4 linked regions of the Caenorhabditis elegans genome follow. The protein of the gene in region 1 interacts with the protein of each later gene in a pairwise test. Each region holds a gene or a part of one and is shown in the gene's direction. Other genes may lie near its edges.

Region 1 (4,847 bases):
AGTGCTGCCAAAAAATCATACTTGCTTCTCTAATAAATATTTAGATATTTGGAAAATGTATCCTATGAACTCCTAACAAAATGATATCGAATTTTTTCAAATTTTTTTTCAGCTAGATTTGTTTTTAAGAAGAATTCCACTGAAATTTTGAAAAAAAATGACAAAAATTTGCAAAAATTTGAAATAAGATTTTAGGTACTTGTATTCTAATCCCTCATATTAAAAATGAATTTTTAAATAAAAACGTGTCGAGTTTTTGTATTTTTCGGCTTATAAACATTTAATCATTTCTAAGCCTAAACAGGGAAAATGAACATCACGTTTTATCAGAATCGGAAGATAAATGGAAGTTTAATTAATTTTAAAAATGCGGGGTTTTAATGCACAAGTACCAAATTTTGTAAATATATTCGCTCTTGATTATGATTGCTTTTATTCTTTAGATTGTTGCATTGTTTCCAGGATAACTCAGTCTCATAAACTATGTCCTCCAGAAAGTTTTTTACTGAACAAAATGAAACTTGCTTTGGAACTCCATAGGATCAATTCCTTTTTTCAGTCATTTTTCAGCCGCCGTCATCTTCCATTCCTAAACTTCGCTTTTAATATTTCTCCCGTTCAATATAAAAATAGTGAAACGTAAAAGGAATGATGATTAGGTGACCACGGATTGCACTTGACGAGTGCCCGATAATGATACATCGAGAGAGTGAGAGAAAAAGAGCAGGCGATCTAGCGACAGCTGTCGGGGGTCGTCGAAGTGTAGAAGGACGGACCTCTGAAATGAAAGCAAAAACGTATTCCGTCTCTCCTCGAGAAAATATATACTCCATCTCTTTCTCTCCCTCGCTCTCGCCGGGAGCCCCGTCTACCCGCTGTAACAATACCAGTGTTCTATCGGCTCGTCGCCGCTTTCGCCTCGAAAGTCTTCTCGAGGGGCTCGCAATTTATTGGCTTCTAGACCATTCAGCTTCTTCTTCTTCTTCTTTTTCTGCTTTTTCATTTTCTCTTCTTGCTGCTTCGTCTCTTTTTCTTTTTTACCGCCGACGTTCTGGTTGCACTCGCTCACTACTACCTGTCTTTTTTCGCTTGATCATCGTTTCATCTTTTATCCTCCCACTTTTTTTCGTATCCGCTTTTCTAGTTTTTTAGGATCTAGATTTTTGAATAGTGGTTTTGGTTTTTTAGCTTAAAAACTCCGCTCTAAGAGCTCTTTCAACCTTTTTCGTAGAATTAATGTTCAGAATTCTCATCATCATCACCATCTATCGTTCATTCTTTCATCACATCTTCTTTTCCAAATCTTCTTACAAAATATGTCGCTCCTCCTAAAGGAAAAGTTGTTACTATTACTAATCACTTCAATCTGCAGTTTCTGCTGGTTCAGGCCACTCCTATTCTTCTTCTTTTTCGCACTTTCATTTCAATCTATGTTTTCCCACTAATTGCTACCTGCTAGATACTGATCTATTATATAATTCTATTTTAAGTTACCAGTGGGTTCAAGTTCATTTTATAAATAAAAAATGCAATGCAAATAAAAAATTTTTTAAGTAGTATTTTTCCTCTCATTATGAATCAATCCTCCTTCCTCTATTAAATTTGATTATGATCCTATCTTTTTTCCTTTGTTACCTCTCACTCTGCCTCTCAAGTTTGTTTGATTTGTTGCGTTTTTCCATGTTTTTGTGCATTTTTGCTCCAACTTGCTGCCACCTACTCAACAGTTGTCCTGCAAAATATCTCGTTTCTTTGTTCTTCCCCCGCCATTCTTTTAATCTCTCTTCCAATTTCGGACATCTTTCAGTACTTGCGAGAGCAAAGGGTAAATGTACCATCTTGACGACGACTACTTCGCAAGATTCAACCAGCCGTCGTCCTCGTCAGTGCAGTTTCCATCGGAATCGTTACGGTACGGAGGCAGTGGTTTGGCCACTACAACCACGTTTGGTGCTGAAAACGACCCCCAAACTACTCGTTTCCGGTCGCAGTCGGCCGATAATCGAAGATCAGCGTTTCAACATCAGCCGAGAACAATCTCGGAGGATCACATTCCAGAGCCGTGGAATCAAGGACCACTTCGTACTGCTGAAGTGAACTTTCCGTCCCAACAACGAAGACCAGCTTCAACCACGCCCTGGTCGTCACATTCAGAGTACCACTCGTCACATAACCTGTCAGTACCCTCTTCCTTCTCGGAACACCTTCGCGAAAGATCGCCAGCCAGTGGCTCTGCACTTCTCGACTTACTCTCTCGTTACCCGTCTGCACAGCACTCTGTGCAAAACTCACCAGCCGTGCAAGCCTATATCGACAGAATTCACACGGATCGGGCTCCACCGACACGATCGTATACCTATCAATCGTCCGAATCTAACTTTCCACTAATTGAGTATTCAATTCGCCAAGAAGTCCCAAACGGTGTTCGATCGACAACTTCGGTTTATCAAAACGTGGTTCCAAACGGAAACGGATATCCGTCTCAACAAAGAGTGCAAACAACCTTCACCTCGAACGGTCCGGTAACTTCTACTTTTCATCGCGAATACCACAACTCTACCCCGCATCAATATCAGCACTCAAGTTCGCTTGGTGGTCCTCCTCTGCCACTTCCACGAGAGTCGTCATTGCAACAGCAGCAGCAACAGGCGCACCCGTTCGAAAATCGATCTGAGTTTCATCGTCATCCACCGCCGCCGCCGCCGCCATCTTCCTCTTCATCTCATCAATTTTACAACAACGGAGTACCCGCACTCGCCTCAAGTGCGTCGTCCGGAGGTTTTCGTCAACCCGTGTTTCACGACACGGATCAGTTGGATATTATTGCTCAACGTCTCCTTGATGACAACATGAGTCGAAGCACATCAGAATGGAGCAAATCGTTTGAACAGTTGCAGAATCGGTTTCAAAATTTGGAAAGCGATGACTTGTTGAGTCCATCCGCTTTTACGACCACTGGGTCAATGACTTTGCCACGACGTGGAGCACAGCTGCCAATTTCAAAGTCTTCAAGTAACTATGAAATGAATAGTTCGCTTCTTGGAAGAGCGGTTGAACGAAGAGCAGCTGAAGCTCCAGAACAAAGAAAATCCGGAGCATTGGATAATTTCTGGAGTCAAACCATCAGCTCGAGACCTTCTTCGCCAACAATTCAGAGAATTCCAACAAGTTTAACAGCAGCAGAACGACTTCAAATGTTACAAGAACCAATCGACACTGAAAAAAGGTTTACTCAGAGAGTTGGCAGTGGTCAAGGAGTTGCTGCAAGAAAAGCTGAGCTGATGAGAGAACCATCCGTCGAATACACCGAGAAGCCGAGAACTCCATTGAATCCAGCTTTTCCGTCAAATTCTTTCCTAATTCCAAGTTTCAATGAACTGGATAATGCTGTAAATGAACTCTCAAGAACTGTTCGTGGAAATACATTTGGCGGAACAACATTTGGATCCGTGTCACCTGCACCTGTTGTTCACAATGATTCTCTAAACCGACGAGTTGGAGGTTGCGGTAGATTTCCAACAGGTGAACACGCTTTTAGTCCCCCACCAATTGAGGTGTCTAAGTCTCCTGCTTTGTCACTTCACCGGAAGCTGCACTCTCCATCCCCAACAGATGAGGTCAGCGAGAGCTCTTCAGTGTATCAGATTCCAACAGGACTTCCGCATCCAAAACCGAAGCATAATGTGAAAGAACAACTTCATTTAGCTGGAATTCATACTCCTGGCTATCAAATTTCGCGAACCATGTATCGAAACGGACCGAACTTCCCGGTGCCCTCGACCGGAAGTGTTGCCTCTCGGATCACAGAATTCGAAAAACGACCAGGCACTCCCGTTGTGCAACTCTCGACCACAACCGTCAAATACAACGAGCATGTACCAGTTGCGGCGACCGCTAAAGCTGTACCGCAAACCAATGGCAATATGAGTCCACGGAGCGCGGTGTTTCGTGCCAAACCAGTCATTCACGTGGACATGGGCAGCACATATCAGCACTCGTCGCCGACACCGCCAATCCGTCATATTCAAGTGCATTCGGTTCAGAATCAGAATCATCAACCACTGCAAAATCATCAAAACCACCAGTCCTACCTTGGGAAAGAGCAACATAATCACTACCGTCCACAGTATCAGCAGCAGCCAATTAAACAACACGACATTGCGACCCATTCGATTTTCGACTTCAAATCAAACGTGAGTATTTTTTAGTTCTTTTTTTAAATCCTGATCTTCAATTTCTTATGAGACTGTGGGGTTTTGCTTGGCAAAATCTTGTTAGTGTACTTTCAATCATGTGGGAATAGTGCAAACAACCGCGAAAAACTATCGGGGCTTGTGTTCGGAGATGAAAAAGTATTCTGGATCTTGTTTTCGAGAGAAATGACAGTTTTTAGAACGTGTGCTCTATTTTGAGACGATTTTTGATTGCTGTTTCTATTAGTTGGTTTTTTTTTCTCAGACACCAAAAAATACTTACGTCAATCCTGAGAATTGCACCTTTCCAAAGTATAAAATAACATGTTTTTATAACTCCAAATGTAGTTTTTCCCTTATCTCTGTTTAGTTTAGGTGATCATTTCAATGAAATTTTTTTTTCATTAAAATTGTAACTTTCAAATTATTTGTTAAATAATTTCACAACAATTTTCTGCTTTGTTTTTGGACATTTTCGGAAACGAATACACATTTCTATGACGTCCATTCTCAAGAATTCAGTGTAAACACAAGTGTCAATTTTCGCTGAATTTTATTGTTTCAACTTTGCCTTGTTTGTCATGGAATTCCAGAATTTTAATAAAATTCGAAATAGAGTAGTTGAAAAGTACGATTTTTGATTGATTTTCCTAT
Region 2 (6,802 bases), on another chromosome or scaffold:
GACCGGCCGGGTCACTTGCGTTCGGACGACGACATGCGAGGTAGGTCATCTCACGTCTTCTTCATCTTCTTCTTCTCTCGAAGATGTTGGTGGAAGGAGAGAGAAAGAGATGCAAAAAAACGGGGAAGGGCATGGCCCGGCGACCGGACCCGCTAACCCGGTCACCCCGTTTTCGGCCATGGCTAACCCAAAAAAGATTCATTTTTGCCGATAGGACAACAATTAATTCAGTAGTTCGTTTCAAGATCCATGATCCAGGTTCTAGGTTCCAGATTCCAATTGAAAGGTTTCAAAATGTGTTTGTGTTGTCTAACCAATGTTTACCATCTATGTTATGCACGTTCCACTGTTATCAAGTCTATCAAATTGATCAAAAATGCCTATATTTCACGGTCACTCTGCCATTGCCCCATAGTTGGACGAGATAGAGACCACCACCTTCCTCTACCGTAATACTCTTCAAAATGCCCTTTTGAAAAGATGAATTGTGAAGGAGGGAACAGCCCAAAATTGAAGAAAGAATCGACATTTCAACACTTTGAAATGATGTCGTAGTTCGTTTTTGGCTTCTTTGTGTGGATTTTGATTATGTTTCAGTTTTACAGTATCTTATACGCTTATAATTGTTTTTTTTTGGACTTTAAATTATTTTTACCATCACCGTATTTTTCTTTTCTTTAGCGCAACTTAAACTTATTTGCTTTTCCTTTCTGGTATTATACTGAGTTATTTATTATGTGATTCCTATTTATACTGTAGTTTTATTTATAAACAATTCCCGGTTCCTCCTTTGACACTTGAAACTTCTAGTTTAAAAAGTCTCACAGTACTGAAATCCATTACTCTACTTTGTCAATTTATATCTGGACTAATTTTACAAATATCAAAACACAGTCAACTACGAAGCAATTTGTGAATTGATAACTTTTCGATGAAACAAAATGAGATATAAGCTAAAAAGGATATGAACAATGTGGCTCAATTATAGTACGGTATCTATTTTGCACCCAGTACCAAATAAATAGTCGTACCCAGTAAATGGAGCACAAAAACCATGCTTCAGATTTTCGTGCGCCCTTTTTCATTTATGAGAAGATTCGTTTTCCCATTTTCTGTCGGATTAATACTGATTTGAAAATTTCAATTTTATTACTGTGTCTATTTTGCAAAAGTTACACTTTTCAGTTATGGTATATTTTGATATTTGAATTGTACTATTATTTTGTTATAACTCAACATCTTGAAACTGTGCAGGATATTAAAAATACTTATCGAATGGTTTTTTTCTTATTTGTGGTCGTGTTCTGTTCTTTTCCGAAACCACATTCCCTCTTTTGTAGATTAAGATCAGTATCTCAAAAAGATCTCTGATTTTCTCTCCCTCTTTCTCGCTTTACTTCTAGATATTTACTTTCACTATTTATTTTATACATCTAAATTTATTATGTAAGGAGCACTAAAAATAATTTTCTCCCCCTTACTAAATTTTTCCTTATTGGTCATAACTTCAACTCAATACGGACAGTCTTTATGGCCCGCACGAGTCAGTACCAGTGCGGCAGTTATAATAAGTATTAATGGTATCTCATCTCCTCATCGAGTTATTATTCCCAATTAAGTTCGTCTCACATCTTGACCTTGAATTCAGTTTTCTTTATTCCCCTTTTTAAGTTTACACTTACTATTAAATTGCAAAAATCTTAAAGCACAGCTTTTTGGTTTTTTTTACTTGAAATTACATTCTAATTATCTCACACAATGTACTTTATCAGTGACTAATGAGAGTGGGGGTAAGGGACACCTTTTCCCGTCCAGCCGCGTGTCACCGAAAACCGGTATTCTCTACCATTAGGTGGTCACTGTCGGTACCAGGTGCATGTTCTCGCTTCGATGGTCTTCAATGCAACATTTCAATGGTCATTTCGAGAGTTTAGCCAAACAACATCAAAACCATTTTCACTCATTTCGAAAATCTTGAAAAAAGGTTTTTAAGAAGATCAGGGGTCAAGGCACATCAGAGCGCATGGCATGGCCTGTAAGGTCACTGGCCCAAATCGGCACCTCACTTCAGTTCTCGAAATGTCATCGTTCGTGTAGTGAGTTGTTTTTCTGTTTACGTGGCACCTCGGCGGGTGTCCTGAAATCTTTTGATCTAACTCTAGACATTTGAAGCAATCCGTAATGTTCTAGCATACTGTAGGGATGTTTCAATTCAAAATGGAAGTTTCGAAGACTATCTAAGATGGCTGAAAGTTTCTGAAATTTTGCACATATTTTTAACCAGATTTCGGGTGTTCTTCACCGTTTTTGCCATCAAATTCACTTTTCCCAGTTTTCCGCGGCGGTACCATCACGTACTTGCTGTGTATACGTCTCCGTCTCTCTTTTGTCGTTTCGCATGATCAGCGGAAAGTACAATTTACGAAATTGCAACCTCCCGTCGTCGTCGTCGCTGCCGCTGCCGCCACCACCATCATCGCAAACCACGTCGTCTATATCCTGCCTCACACAGCGCGACGACGTCGACGACGCGGGGTCCTGTCACCTCCTGGCGGGAGGCATACCGTACCGTTCGCGCGCAACACACCGTGCACAGGTACCGAGGTCACTTCTCGAGATGAAGAAATAGCGCGGAGACGTACACACAATTGTCTTCTTCATCTTCTTATTCCTACGTCTTCTTCATTTCCTACCTTGTTTCTCAGTATTCCCATATCCTCCATCGTCACCGTCTCTTCATTCTTTCAAAACACTGTAATTGTTATGAGAGGAGCGGTGAGATGGGGATAAAGTTGAGAATAGGCAGGAAATGAAGGATGAGCGGTATGATGAGGAAATATGAAATATGTTGCGAATATATAAGACCTGATAATTGTGGTCCTAGGAAACGAGGTTGAAAATCGAGCCGATATAATAAAAGAGTTGGGGACGACGAGATTTTTATCTGAATCAGAAATGAGTGATGCTATTCGAAGTGAGATTGATATAGATTTTATATTCTTGCCGTATACATTTTCTGATTAAAATTTATGCACAAAAACATAAAGAACTCCCGAAGCATATTTCTCTTGGCGGGTTTTCGTCAAATTTTTCATTTAAAAATACCAAAAAGCTGAGCCATTTTTTTTGCGTTTTAGGCGAGACATTAAAATTTCCAGTTTCACCAAATTTCTTTTGAAGAATTCCATTTGCAAAACAATGCAAAAACAAAATTTTTTTGTTTTTTTTCAAATATTTGAACTTCTGCGTTTTTAATATTTATAAATATTAAAAACGCAGAAGGTACGGTGTGCTAAGAGTGTTTGCGGACTTTAGTTCATTTTATGTCGCCTACCGTAGTCCGCCTCGCTGATATTCGTTTTTTTTTAAATTCATTTTTGACATAAATATTTTGTTTTCAACCATTTTTCTCAAATTTAAATTTAGAATTCGAAAAAAATCTTACTATTCTAATCTAAAATATGCAATGATTCAATTTTTAAGGCTAATTCCCCCCCCAAAAGCAAATAACAATGAAAAAAAATGTTCAGCAGGAATTTAAATATTTATTTTGCGTGAATTTTTTTCCTAACTATAAGCTAGTTATTATGTTTAGATTATATCTTATTGATAAAACCTAAATAATAATAATAAGTCACGTTAAGATCCACGGCTGGTTTTTGTTTCGAAATTTCAATTAATTTCAATTTATATCCTCCAGTAACTAATAGGTGAGTTTCTTAAGCTCTGCGATTGCATGGCATTTCGTAAAAAAAAAACGTTTCGCAAACTGTTTCTAGACGTTCAATCTTTCCGCGTATCCTATCATTACTCGCTTAAATTGTAGTCCGCCTTTCTTGATTTTATCTTCAGCTGGCCTCGATCGCGACAACAAGCTCACAATTTTCCGATGCAAGCTGTAGAGCAGAAGTTGGCTGATGCAACACGAACTCTTCATGCAAAGTCATCTCTTCAACCATCACTCTCAATTGAAACTCCAAAAAGCAAGGAAAATGATGAATCTGGATGCGAGAGTTCAAATTGCATGTTTCATCCGCATACGATCAAATCGGAACCAAATTTTTGTTTTGCTCGGGAGTTTAAGTCAGTTCCCGATGATTTTCGTATAGGCGGCGGAGATCTTCAAATGGGAAACAATTCCAAAAGATTGACATGTGTTATTGATACAAATCGAGTCGATATGGCCGGAATTCTTCCTGATAATATGAGCTTCCGGGGACTTCCCGAAAACAAATCTCTTCTGGGTATGCACGTATTTTTTGTTCATTGTCCTACTAACCTTTAAAACCCTTGAAATTTGGAATTTGGAACCGAACTCTGAAAAAAAACACTCCAAAATTGTGATAAACTGAACTTTTTAAAGATTCTAAATTTACTTTTTCAGTATCAGCGCAGATAGAAGTAATACCATGTAAAGTGTGCGGTGACAAGTCGTCTGGCGTTCACTATGGAGTTATCACATGTGAAGGCTGCAAGGTATGCCTTTTTACCAGAATTACTTTATTTCTTATACATTTTTCAGGGCTTTTTCCGACGCAGTCAATCATCCATCGTCAATTATCAGTGTCCGAGACAGAAGAATTGTGTTGTTGATAGGTATCTCAGTTAGGAATGTTACAGAAATTTAATATCGTATTTTCAGAGTGAATCGAAATCGATGCCAATACTGCCGTCTCAAAAAGTGTATTGAGTTAGGAATGTCACGGGATGCAGTTAAATTTGGACGAATGTCAAAAAAGCAACGAGAAAAAGTAGAAGATGAGGTATTTACATTCCCAATTCTAAACTTCGTATTCATGTCATCGTTTTTGTCTGTTCAATCCTTAAAGGTTCAGGTTCGAATGCATAAAGAATTAGCTGCAAATGGTCTTGGATACCAAGCAATTTACGGCGACTATTCCCCTCCACCATCCCATCCCAGTTATTGGTAATTATCACCTACATTTTTCTGTCATGCAACGTCATTTTCAGCTTTGATCAAAGTATGTACGGTCATTATCCATCTGGAACTTCAACACCTGTTAACGGATATTCTATAGCTGTTGCTGCGACTCCTACGACTCCAATGCCACAGAACATGTACGGAGCAACACCATCATCTACAAATGGCACACAATATGTTGCACATCAAGCCACTGGAGGAAGCTTCCCATCGCCACAAGTTCCAGAAGAAGACGTTGCCACTCGCGTTATCAGAGCTTTCAATCAGCAGCACAGTTCCTATACAACACAACATGGAGTTTGTAACGTGGATCCTGATTGTATTCCTCATTTGAGTCGAGCTGGTGGTTGGGAGCTCTTCGCTAGGGAGCTCAATCCGCTTATTCAAGCAATTATTGAGTTTGCCAAAAGTATTGATGGATTTATGAATCTTCCGCAAGAAACACAGATTCAATTGCTGAAGGGAAGCGTTTTTGAGTTATCACTCGTTTTTGCTGCTATGTATTACAATGTAGACGCGCAGGCAGTGTGCGGTGAAAGGTATTCTGTTCCATTTGCATGCTTGATTGCCGAAGATGATGCCGAGGTATTTATTTTCATAGAGTAATATCGGCTCATACTCAATGTTTCAGATGCAATTGATCGTTGAAGTTAATAACACTCTTCAAGAAATTGTTCATTTACAACCGCATCAATCCGAATTAGCTCTTCTTGCCGCTGGACTTATTCTGGAGCAAGTGTCTTCTTCTCATGGAATTGGGATTCTTGACACTGCGACGATTGCCACTGCAGAAACACTGAAGAACGCGTTGTACCAAAGTGTCATGCCAAGAATTGGATGCATGGAAGACACGATTCACCGAATTCAAGATGTTGAGACAAGAATCAGACAAACAGCTCGTTTGCATCAAGAGGTATTATTTGCTGAAGCTTGGATATAAATAATCTGGAATGCTTAATTTTGAGGTTATTATTTTTCTATTTACAGGCTCTTCAAAACTTCCGAATGTCTGATCCAACATCATCTGAAAAGCTTCCTGCCCTCTACAAAGAGCTATTCACTGCAGATCGGCCTTGACTGAATCCATATATCATCAATAGTTTTATCCATGCTCTCCTTCCCTATCCCCGTCCATGAATCTCGTTTCCTCCGGTTATTTGTACAATAAGAGTAGACCAAAGCGCCGTTTGAACCCAACGACACCATTTTCTTTCCTTCTGTGATTTCCTTTCCCGACATTCCCCCCAAAACCCCAGTCGTTTCCATGTTTTATCAGAAAATTAATAGAAAAATAATTGTAGTCGTCTGTTGCAGGAGAGTTCCTCATTCTTTCTCTCCTTTTCCTGTTTTTAAAGTGATTTACTCGGATCTTCTTTACTTACTTGTTCTAATTTATTAATGACTTTTGTCACCCCCCCCCCCCCCCTCGTGTACCATGTACAATCATGTTGCGTTCCATGTTTTCTTGCATTTCATGTTCAGTAAAATTTCTGAAACCATACCAATCTCTCTCTTGTCTTATCATTTCTCTTCAGGTATTGATGCCTCTCCCCATCCCATCCCATACTCTTTTCGTGATCAACACGGGTACAAAACCACAAATTTCCATTTATCTGGATTTCTAGGCGCACTAATTTTTATTTTATTAAATATCTCCCCATTTATTGCCTTTTAAAACTCGTATCATTCCAGTGTCTGCGCTTTAATTACGCCTTCTTACCCATTTGATCCAACCATTTTCTCGTTTATGGTGTAGTGGTCGCTTGAGTGTTTCCATTGTTTCATGTAACATCCTAAATATGTTTCATTGTCATCAATGCATTCAGCTCCATACACCGACTTTTTAATTTATTTCACTTT
Region 3 (7,828 bases), 7.0 Mb from region 1:
AATGTGCGGTGTGAACAACGAAACAGTTCCAAAAGTTTTTTGAAAAATCTCAGTTTTTAAAACTTCGAACTTGGGGATTTAATATAAAATATTTGGAAAACTACGAAATCGCATATCTGAACCGCCTCACTATAGTTTTTTTGATAACATTTTTCATACATTTGTGGTTTTCAATTTTTACTTGTCTAATTTTTATTTTGATTAACATAAGGACAATTTTTCTGTAGAAAGTGAGCAGAAATAATCAATTTTTTTTTTAAATCACATTGGAAACTAAATCCTCAACGCAATTTTAGATGTTTGAAGTGATATGTGTTTATTATTCACCTACATATGCAACACGTTGGAAACACTTATTACAACTTAACAGCACGGGTTTATCATTCTTCCTTCCTTCCACCTTCTCCTCTCAATTTCCACCCTTTATCTTCCCTTTACTGCACTTCATAAGTGCTTTTATCTCTTTTTCTTTTCCTCTCGATTTGCAGCATGTCATTATCTTTTTTGTCGTATATGTTTAAGTCAACGATTATTAACTTCAATTTAAGCATCGACCGTGTATCCTGTGCTATTATGTTTTTGTTGTTTGAGGCTATTTTGAAAAGTGCACAGCCTCCTCCGCATGTGCTCACTAGTTCTAATTGAATTTATCTGATTATTCGAGGAGAACCTTCTCAGATGCATAGAGTTGGTTTTTGTTCAAAAAATTTTTTCTTAGTCAGAAGTTAAATGTAATGTGCACCCATCACTGATCATAGTACATATGAATATAAAGTTTATTCAGCGAAGTTAAGGATTCTAACATGTAAAACAGCTGAATTATTTAAATTAGGAAAAATCGGTTAAAATCACCTTGAAAAATGTTGCCATATTGACTATAGCTATTAAGTAATAATTTTCTAAATGGAATTCATATTAATTCAGCTGGCAAATTTGGAAAAGTGTTTTGTCACCATCATGTTTTATTTTTATTTTTTGTAATTCAGTTAAATTGTTGGACGCTATGTTTTTTTGTTGAAGAATTGACACGAAATTCGTTAAAACTATAATTATCATTTTTTAAGAACATATCCGACAACTTTTCGTGAGAGCCATTGCAGTTTATAAAAGGTATCTTGTTCTAGTGGTACATTTTAGATGTAAACTCGCAAAGAGCTGATAATATGAGGAAAATCTTCACTATAATTTTTCACCTAAGAATATCCTTGATGACTACAACTCGAACTCAATTTTCCATAAGCTACTATTAAACTTTTTTTTCCTACATTGACCATTAGTAGTATTAGCTGTAGTTATATTCTTTGTTGTTGTTGTTGCATCCAATGCACTCCTAGACCGACAAAAATTGCAAAGAAGAAGAGGAGAAAAGAATGTGTAGTTTTGTGGAGTTGTGAGTGACCGGCCATCCACATTGCGCCCTTCCTATTCCCATCACCCTGCTTTCACCACTCTTGTCGAGATTTTGGTGAAAAGCGAGTAAAATGCAATACATTACGAGGCATTCTTCGCGCGGGAGGAAACCCGGGGACCCCCTTGCTTTTCATCTACAACACTCCCTTTTTCTACATATTTCGCATTTCCTATCTTTTTATGCATTACTACTTCTTGTGGACCCCTTGAGTAGCAAAATACAACTACATCTCAAAAAGAGAAAGTAAACAAGATTAAGACAAAAAACTATATGTGTTCACAAAATCTGTTCTTTCTCCTATATTCTATCCGTCTTTTTTGTTTCCTACTTTTCTTTTTGTTTTTTGACATGAACATCTGCTTTCTCTTTTGTCCTAAATTAAATTCTGAATCGATCATTTTACAGGAGCTCAGATGAAATGAGCCTCAAAGACTTTGTCATATCAAAAACCGAAGTAATCGATGCTTGTAAAAAAGGAGAATATGATAAAGTTGCGTTGTTTCTCAGCTCGAAAAAGGGCAAAAAGATTCGAAGCGGGCTGAAGTAATACTTATTTTCTAATTTTCAAATAAACTATTGATATTTTTCAGATTTTTCACAACGCGATCAGACAGTCATTGGCTCGCCGACTACAAAGATGAAAAATCTGACTTCACCTTACTCCATCATGCGGTTCTCGAGAATCAAAATCAAATCAGTAAACTCCTTATGGACTACGAACCACTTCTTTTACTGTGTAAAAGTACAAAAAATATTTTACCAATTCACTTGGCCGCCTGGAATGGGAACTTGGAGATTGTGAAAATGCTTCTTTTACAAACAATGGAAAAGCCCGCAGATATTCTGAATGCAGTGAACATTTTCAATGAAACTCCACTTCATCTTGCAGTTCAGAGATGTCATCTTGAAGTTGTGTTCTATTTGATAAAGGTAAGCAAAGATAACTTTGAGAATTAAAACTATTCGACTGTGAACAGGAACAACATTCATATCTATAATAAGTTATTCAATTTTGCAATGCGTTTGACGTTTGATTCTTGTATAGAGATTAAATTGTTGACAGATTTAACAATTGTTAGCTTGAAAAATCACGTATCGTTTCAATTTCCTTAAATTTCAGAAAAATGCCGACCCCTTCATTCGTAATGAAAACAAGGAAAATGTGATTGACGTTGCATCACGCATTGGATCTGCTGAAGCCATCAGAATGTTGTGCCAAAAATGGCCAAAGTTTCCTGTGCAGTCAGCATATGAGTCTCTTCGAGTTGGAACACCGGACATAAAACGGCCCTTTCCGGCCATATACCCATTTCACCTTGCAGCAAAGTATAATCACGTTGAGTGCATGCAAGTGAGTTGCTTTTTCCACTTTGCTATTCATTATTCAAGAATTGAGTATAAGAGTAAGGGTGATGCAGAATAGTTTACTCCTTGCGTGAATGTTGGTAGCAATTTGAGAATAGCAAAAAAACGGGGTTAATTTTCTGATAGGCGTGTTTCATATGAATCTGCAAGTTTGTACAATGTTTACAAATTTGAAATTCGAAATAGATTCGATAGTAACATGCTTATGATTTCATTTTCATAACTCATCCCAAAAAACGTTTAGTTTGAAATATAAACACTCAACAGATATTTTTTTGACTGTGCACTTATGCGTCACGGTGTTTGCGGTTTTCCAACAAAAAAAACTATATTTTCTGTAGTAAATATTTTGAAACACTACTATTTATTATTTGTATTTTTGTAGTTTAATCATAGGTTTATAAGACTCATATGTTCTGTAGATTTTTTTAGTTAAACAAACCCAATCAAATAATTTACTGTTTCACTTAAATGAAAAATGTACTAAATGTTTAATTTCAGGCTCTTCGTGAACATGGTTTCTCCATTAACTACACTACGGAAGATGGGACAGCTCTACATGTGGCTTCTGCTTGTGGACAGGCCGAGGCAGTCAGGTTTCTGCTGGAAATTGGCGTGAACACTGATATCAAAAATCAACACGGACAAACAGTGCTCCAAATGATCATCGATCTCCAGGAGAACCGAAGGAATGAAATCGCCCATTTTGTAAAAAATCCGGAAGGATGGAAGGAATGTAGAACAATTATCGAAGGAATGGATAGAAGAGACTCTGGAAGAGAAACCGAAGGAAGTCAAAGTGACAATGAAAGAGAAGCAATTTGGCAACCACTTCCAAGTCAAGCAAGCGGTGGGTTATTTTTAAAACTAATAATATGTGCATTGTAAGGAACATTTCGGTTATCAATCGAGTTAAGCTCAAAGTTCAAAATCTGAATGATAAATAAAGTTATTCACGATTTCAGTTCAAGTATACCCGGATCAACGAAGAAACAATCATTCCATCTACCAGCCACCTTCTATTTCTGCAAGACTGCGAGATTTATCCCCCGACGACTCTACAGAAGCTTTGAACAGTGTTCGATCAGAGGGGCCTTACACCACACACTCTATCAATCGTACATGGAACAGTTCCATGTTAGACAGAGCTCCAAGAACTGGAAGGTTCCCGTTGACATCGCCTAGTTATCACTCAAAGCATTATTCGTGTCAAAGATCCAGCGATACATTGCCAACGAGGCTGAAAAATGTTAGAACGAGGCCAACAGAAAAGCAAATAGGTAATCTATTATCGATATTCTGAGTTTACGGATTGACTTTATTTTCAGCTTCTGTACTCCCGGGAGATAATTGTGCATACAACTCTCCTTCAAAATTCAATGAATGGCAAAAGAGTCAACTGACCATTAGCAATCGTCCGCCAGCACCATATGACAACGTTCCGAACAACTCTGCAATATTCGTCCGCCCCAACTCACCAATAGCAAGATCTGCATCACTCCGTAGACAATCCGGATACGCAACACTTCCAAAACTTGCCACCTACTCTCCAAGAATTCCAGATCATGGTCGTCCTGACCTGAATGACGCCTTTATTCAAGACCCAGACAAAACAATGGATAGGTCATTGAATCGGAACCGTAAGTATAGGAAACGACTCTAATTAATATAAAATAAAGACTTTTAAGAGTTTTCTATTTCCCGAACTACGTGTGATCGTGAAGAATCGCTGGGATTGACGCAAAGTCCAAGACTGGACACCAGAGCAAGCAGCATAACATCATCCTTGACATACGCGTGCTCGACACTTGACAAAGGTAGGCATTTTAAGCAAAAATGGAATGATTTAGGGGCATACGACAACCTAAAAAATTTCTAGCATATGATGTACGAGTTGATAAGTTCGGGTAGATTATGAGAAAACGAATCTTCCAACACTGATCTCATGCTCGGTATCTTGTTAACTCTGAAAAAAAACTTTGGTCAATGACAAGGAAAAAATCATTTCCTAAACTTATGGAGTCCTGAAGTCAATCTAAATAAATGCAATTTCAGATAAGTTCTTCCGGGAACGCGAACGTGATAACGGCCGTGCACCATTGGCAATGCCAGAAGAAATAACAGGTTCAGTGACAGGCAGTGTCATTTACAGCCAAGGAAATGCGAATCAACATCTAAATGGGAATTATGAGAAAGACAACAATGTGACTGCAATTTTTTTAGAAGACGTGATGAGACCATCATCAAACTCTGCCGAGAGCCCACCTTCCCCAAACACCTCTAAAGCATTCATCTTTGACGCGTTATGTGGAAAATCTCGGCTGGTTGACTCTACAAATGTTGATTTCTTCTCTGGATTCTCGTCATCGTCAAATTTGAGCCACAGAAGCACTGAATCAACGTCGAAGGTGCAGATGAATAGCAGTTTCACTGAGCCGGAAGAGCCTGTCCGAATCCGCCGTCAAAATGGAACAACGAACCTTATGCTGAATTCACTTTCACCCACAGATAATTTGTCGTCCCCCTCATCAGACCAGAAATCAGACACGACCAGTGAAGAACCTAGTTGGGATAGGGTAAGTCGATCAGGGGACAAACCAATTTTTGTTTATTTTTTCGTAACAATGGCGTATCTGCAAAAAGCACACGGATTTTATGTTTCTCAACAGTTTCTCAATAGTCAGCTATTGTTAATGTAAAGAAAAACAGATCAGAAGTTTTTTTTAATGATAAAAACCTGCACTCGCTGTGCGGGCTTAATTCTTACGGTGTATTTGAAATACAGAGCCAGAAAAACTGTAATAGGTCAGTCTTTTTTGTGTATTTGCAAAGCTGGGTAGCGGGAATAAAACGCAGTAAAAAATAACGGCAGCGCCTAAACGTTTGTGCGTTTTTGGATTATCAGCATTAAACAACAAAAAACGATTTAAATGTCAATTCTATAATTTCAAATTTGAAAAAAGTGTCAGTGAAACTTTGTTAATTTTTTGTATAACAGGTGGAAAGTGTATTCGATTCGTTTGGTGCAGCTCCATGTCGTGAAAGTGTTTTTGTTCGTGAATACGAGCCACGTGTGGCAGTTTACTTACGTGATCGTGGGTCGAAAGCGTTGAGCGTAACACTTGTCGAGGATGAGTTCAGAGATCACAAGTCGCTTCTTGTAAAAAAGGTACTTTTAGTTACATTTTTGTTTCAACTTCCATTCATGTCACGTTTTACACCGGTTGTTCATGTTTCAGCAACCAAAAACAATAATTGAGTGGTTGGAAAGTGATGTTATGTTAGCCCCAGTAGCGGCTGATTCAGTTGGAGCACTTCTTCAAACTCATGGATATGATAGAATGGATCAACTAAAAGGGATAATAAATAGAAGTATCCTTACGGAAATCGGAGTAGATGACGTCACCAAGTTCAAGATAATGTCAGAGATTGAGAAATTGAAGGATGATGTTGCTAGTGCTGGTTGGTTTTTTTTTGAAACATAAAACACATTCATAAAACACATTTACTCTGCCGGAACATTTTAAGAAACCTTCATCAATTTTTCAAATCACTTTTCAATTCCAGGACGTTTCTTCTATGTTAGTGAATGGCTCAACTTCATCGGACTTCAAGATTACATTTCCAACTTTGTCGGTGCAGGATACAAGCATATGGCAAAATTGACAGAAATTGACTGGGACACGGCAAGATTGATGGTGAGTAAATTTGTTCAAATAACAACTTTTGTGATTTTAAGATACTTTTTATCACTGATTTCGCGTTTATTAATCAAAAAATATCCATAGACCTGTGATAATTGTTGCATATTTTTAATTTCAGCAACTCGGTGTTACTCGTCCTGGTCACATTGCTAGAATGCTCCATTCGTTCAAAAAAGCAGAAGACGAAAAAAGAAAAGAGTACAATAATCGACTACAGATTAAGCCATTAATGTCACCTCCTCCTCTGCCGCCAAGGTCAAAACAGTAAGTTTTTAATGAGAAATAATTTTCAAAAGAACAAACATTCAACAAGTTTCAGAAACAACTGTGCTGAATGCCCACAAGGCGATTTTGACAAGATCAAGAACAAGTTGCTGCAGGGCAACGTGGTGTATCGTGCACACCACCTCGGTGTTCTGGAAATTGGAGAAACCGAATGCTCTGATGAAGCTCATGCAGCTATGACAAGAATCAAAGAGTCGATAATTGACTGGGAGACTATTCCACGGGTTACTTTGGATTTGACTTGCAATGGAATCACTATCTTCGATGAAACTTTTAAGGTAATGATTAAATTATCACCTAATGGAATTGACAAATTGTAAAAGTTCAGCAGAACTGAGAAGCGGTTAAAGAATAAGGGGGTCGGGAAACAATAATTTAACGACTGATACACCTGCATTCGTTGCAGGAAAGTTATGACGTGAAAGTATTTCATAAAATCTGATTACTTATGAAATATACTTATACGATGTGAAAAAAACACAAAGATATTTTAATCGTATGGTATTTCGGAAATTGGATTTTAGAAATAGAACATCATATTTCTCGAACCGAGAATTCATATTTTGTTTGTGTTTATCAATTTTATCAATTGTATTTTCTCAGCAGACGTTAGAGGTTGAGACGTTTTTTGACTAGTCTAGGAAATTCGCCGCAATCGGATATCAGCTGTAGGCCACAAAAGACCACCCGCAATATTAATTTGATTAGAAAATCCGAAGCGTTGACAAACTTGCCCCCCGATTAATCTCAATGATTTTTTAGACTCTACTTGACGGCTATGGTGTCTATACAATAAGAGTCGTATGTCAGGATAGAAAGGATCTCAACTTCTTCTGCTTTGTTGCAAGGGACACTGAAAATCGTTTCTTTTGTCACACTTTCTGTGTGCTGACCTCGGTATTTCGCACAAATAATGCCTTAGAAAAGTTCATATTTCTAGGGAATTGCCGCAGAAATCATCACCACAATCGGAATGATGTTTGAGCTCAGAAGCAGAATGGACAAGTCTCTGCCAATCGAAGGAACAATGGTACGATGCCGGCATAACAGTCAGCAAACTACT
Region 4 (2,809 bases), on another chromosome or scaffold:
AGGCTTTTACATGTTCTTCTGCTATTCACCTTTTTGGTAGTGGTTTCTGGAATTTTATTTGACAACGGTGGAAGATCCCATGGCTTTGGATCCTCCTCTGATTCCTCCGATGATTACAGTGGCCGACGTGGTGGTGGGCGGCATAGGCCTCCAAGACCTCCACGGCCTTCAAAACCTGTAACAACACCTAAGCCACGAGACGACTGGATAACGATCAATGGGCCGTTTACAACCACTCTACCAATTCCTGGAGGATATTGGGATACTGGGAAGATCATGCGTATTTATGGTATACCTGGAAGTGGAAGATGGACCATCAACCTGGCAAAATCAAAAGTTTGGGTGTTTCACTTTGCGGTAGAGCCTAGCAAGGGACTTGTGAGTTTTGCTTTTGTAGGCTAGACGCCTCTCAGGCTTCGGCCCCTCTTCATCAATAGTTTTTTAGGTAGCCAGAACCCGACATTTGAATGGAAAGTGGCAAGTCGGTGAAACATATGGTGGAAACCCATTTCGAGCTAATGCCGCCTTTAATGTTACTATGGTCAATCAGCCAACGCATATCGAGATTCATGTCAATGGTGCATTCTTTGTAAATTTCAATCATCGAGTTTCCAATCCATCCAGAGACTATCTATCGATTTCCAATTCGTTTCTATCTCGAAAGTGGAGTTTTCACGATAACTTTAATAAAGAATTCTGTTGCATTTGGTAGAAATTTGAAATTATTTTTCAAGGTCTGATATGGAAGATGTCACATAACTTTGTTACGAAAAAAGTTACAGCAGCTCCGACGGGACTGTATTTTGACTAAACTGGCTAAGTGACCCACGACTTTGGAACTAGGTGTTTTCACGAAACAAAGTTCAATAGGAAAATAATTTTTACAGATTCTTCTACATCTTGCAATTTATTGTTCTGTCACAAGTTTACTAGGAAACATTACACAGAATATGAAACATTCATAACCAAAGTCAGATTTGACAAAAGTTCTTATAATGTGAGCAATATTTTTTTGGATCAGACTCTGAGCCCCGTCGGATGTCAGCTGCTGAAATTTATTTCATAACAAAGTTAGGACATTATCAAGAGTGTGGTTATCGTATTTGACTTATAATTGTTTGAACAACTCAAGCAAATTACCGTGAAAGCAAAAGCGAATATACACTGTACGAGTGTAACTAGAACGACATAATACCCGACAAATATAATAAATGGGCTTATCCGAGTCGTAGCAATTTCTTGTATTGACGGTTATATCGAGGAACTATCAAATTCTATCAAATTCCACAAAAAAAAACATTATCACGAAATATAAACTTTAGCAGGTTTTTGATGAGTTTAATACGAAACTTTTGCATTCAAGTTGGAGAATTATACGGCAAAAAATAAAATGTTTTGTTCATTGATCTCTAGAATTCTACCCACAAAAATTGAAAATTGAACAGAGATGCATTAAAAATTGCCGCGCGCAATGAAAAATACGTGGTAGAGGTGCAAAAAGCGCTATAAAACATGCTTCCATCTCCGCCAAATCTTTAAAAGTTCCTTTCCAATGAGGCTTTTACATGTTCTTCTGCTATTCACATTTTTGGAAGTGCTTTTTGGATTTGTACTCGACACCGGTGGTGGATATTATGGCTCAGGATCCTACTCTGATTCCTCCGATGATTACAGTGGGCGACGTGGTGGTGGGCGGCATAGGCCTCCAAGACCCCCAAGGCCCCCAAGGCCACCCAGGCCAACACCTAAGCCAGTAGAAAACATGGAAACTCTTCATGGGCCATTTGGGCCCGGTGTGCGTTATCCGATTCCTGGAGGATATTGGGCTACAGGCAAGGTCCTCCGATTTTATGGTGTTCCTGGACGAGGTAGATGGTCGATTAACCTGGACCGAGAAAAGGAGTGGCTGTTTCATTTCGCGTCACAGCCTGATTTAAGACGTGTGAGTTTAGACCCTCATGTTTAGGCCATGTTGCTTAAAAAACAGTCCTTGCATCCTATGTATATCTCATTTTTCGTTATTTTACAGGTTGTCAGAACCCGTCATTTGAATGGAAAGTTCCTCCTCGGTGACACATATGGTGGAAACCCATTTCCAGCTGGTGCTAATTTCAATGTGACTATGATCAATCAGCCAACGCATATTGAGATTTATGTCAATCAGGTTTTCTTCACAAACTACAATCATCGAACTCCCAATCCATCGAGAAACTATCAATACGTCGTTTTCTCCGGAAATGTCATTATCTCGAAAATTGAAGTTACTAGATAATTTGTTTAACTGAATGAAAGATTTGTTGCCAGTTTGTTGAAACATTTGCAGTTTTGTACAGTGCGTTTGGTGGTTTTTCAAAAATGTTCAAATGAGTATAACTCTGAAACTAAAGCTTTCTGCAAGAAAAGCTCATTTAACAAACTGTTGCTCATAATTTTTTCCACGCGACAAAACATGTTTTAAAATTTCATATCAATGACATCAATAAATACAGTGCCCGACATCTCGCGAGTCCAATTTTGACGATTTTTCTTTAATTTTTCCAAAAAACGCATATTTATTTGGCCGACGCTATAGCTCAGAATACGGCCTTCCACGAAGGCGAGGCAAGGAGAAGGTACACCACGCCCGCACTAACACACTCTGTGAACTGCGGCCGACGCTACGCGGGACCTCGCGCCACTATAGCTGTGTACAACAGAGAAGGGCGGTGCTGTTTGGCGAGAGTAGCGCCCTTGTGGAAGGCCTACGCGGGCACGTGGCGTCTGATCTACGTAGATCTACATTAACCGCGGGTGAAGAGAGGCAGAGTTC

Evidence for each region.
Region 2: the proteins of F43B10.1 (region 1) and nhr-23 interact in a two-hybrid assay, tested with the Caenorhabditis elegans proteins (one large-scale study listed by BioGRID).
Region 3: the proteins of F43B10.1 (region 1) and C11E4.6 interact in a two-hybrid assay, tested with the Caenorhabditis elegans proteins (one large-scale study listed by BioGRID).
Region 4: the proteins of F43B10.1 (region 1) and F49F1.9 interact in a two-hybrid assay, tested with the Caenorhabditis elegans proteins (one large-scale study listed by BioGRID).

What each region holds. Positions count from the first base shown.
Region 1 is NC_003284.9:16,651,466-16,656,312, reverse strand, and holds the start of F43B10.1 (EF-hand domain-containing protein), read left to right. Parts: upstream 1-1,801; 5' UTR 1,802-1,829; coding exon 1,830-4,193; intron 4,194-4,847.
Region 2 is NC_003279.8:7,214,934-7,221,735, forward strand, and holds nhr-23 (Nuclear hormone receptor family member nhr-23), read left to right. Parts: upstream 1-1,850; 5' UTR 1,851-2,028; coding exon 2,029-2,096; intron 2,097-3,852; coding exon 3,853-4,244; intron 4,245-4,384; coding exon 4,385-4,476; intron 4,477-4,522; coding exon 4,523-4,596; intron 4,597-4,642; coding exon 4,643-4,763; intron 4,764-4,829; coding exon of another isoform or gene 4,830-4,835; coding exon 4,836-4,927; intron 4,928-4,971; coding exon 4,972-5,527; intron 5,528-5,573; coding exon 5,574-5,855; intron 5,856-5,929; coding exon 5,930-6,019; 3' UTR 6,020-6,295; downstream 6,296-6,802. UniProt on the Caenorhabditis elegans protein: Orphan nuclear receptor. Transcription factor. Modulates expression of target genes, such as Period protein homolog lin-42 and microRNA let-7, by binding to hormone response elements (HRE).
Region 3 is NC_003284.9:9,608,747-9,616,574, forward strand, and holds the start of C11E4.6 (ANK_REP_REGION domain-containing protein), read left to right. Parts: upstream 1-1,816; 5' UTR 1,817-1,829; coding exon 1,830-1,954; intron 1,955-2,001; coding exon 2,002-2,341; intron 2,342-2,531; coding exon 2,532-2,762; intron 2,763-3,277; coding exon 3,278-3,626; intron 3,627-3,741; coding exon 3,742-4,056; intron 4,057-4,104; coding exon 4,105-4,416; intron 4,417-4,464; coding exon 4,465-4,593; intron 4,594-4,831; coding exon 4,832-5,352; intron 5,353-5,774; coding exon 5,775-5,945; intron 5,946-6,015; coding exon 6,016-6,238; intron 6,239-6,343; coding exon 6,344-6,474; intron 6,475-6,598; coding exon 6,599-6,744; intron 6,745-6,799; coding exon 6,800-7,043; intron 7,044-7,527; coding exon 7,528-7,662; intron 7,663-7,705; coding exon 7,706-7,828.
Region 4 is NC_003282.8:4,136,311-4,139,119, reverse strand, and holds F49F1.9 (Galectin), read left to right. Parts: upstream 1-1,547; 5' UTR 1,548-1,552; coding exon 1,553-1,942; intron 1,943-2,029; coding exon 2,030-2,272; 3' UTR 2,273-2,303; downstream 2,304-2,809. Other genes in the region: F49F1.10 (Galectin), read left to right, coding at 1-378, 446-712.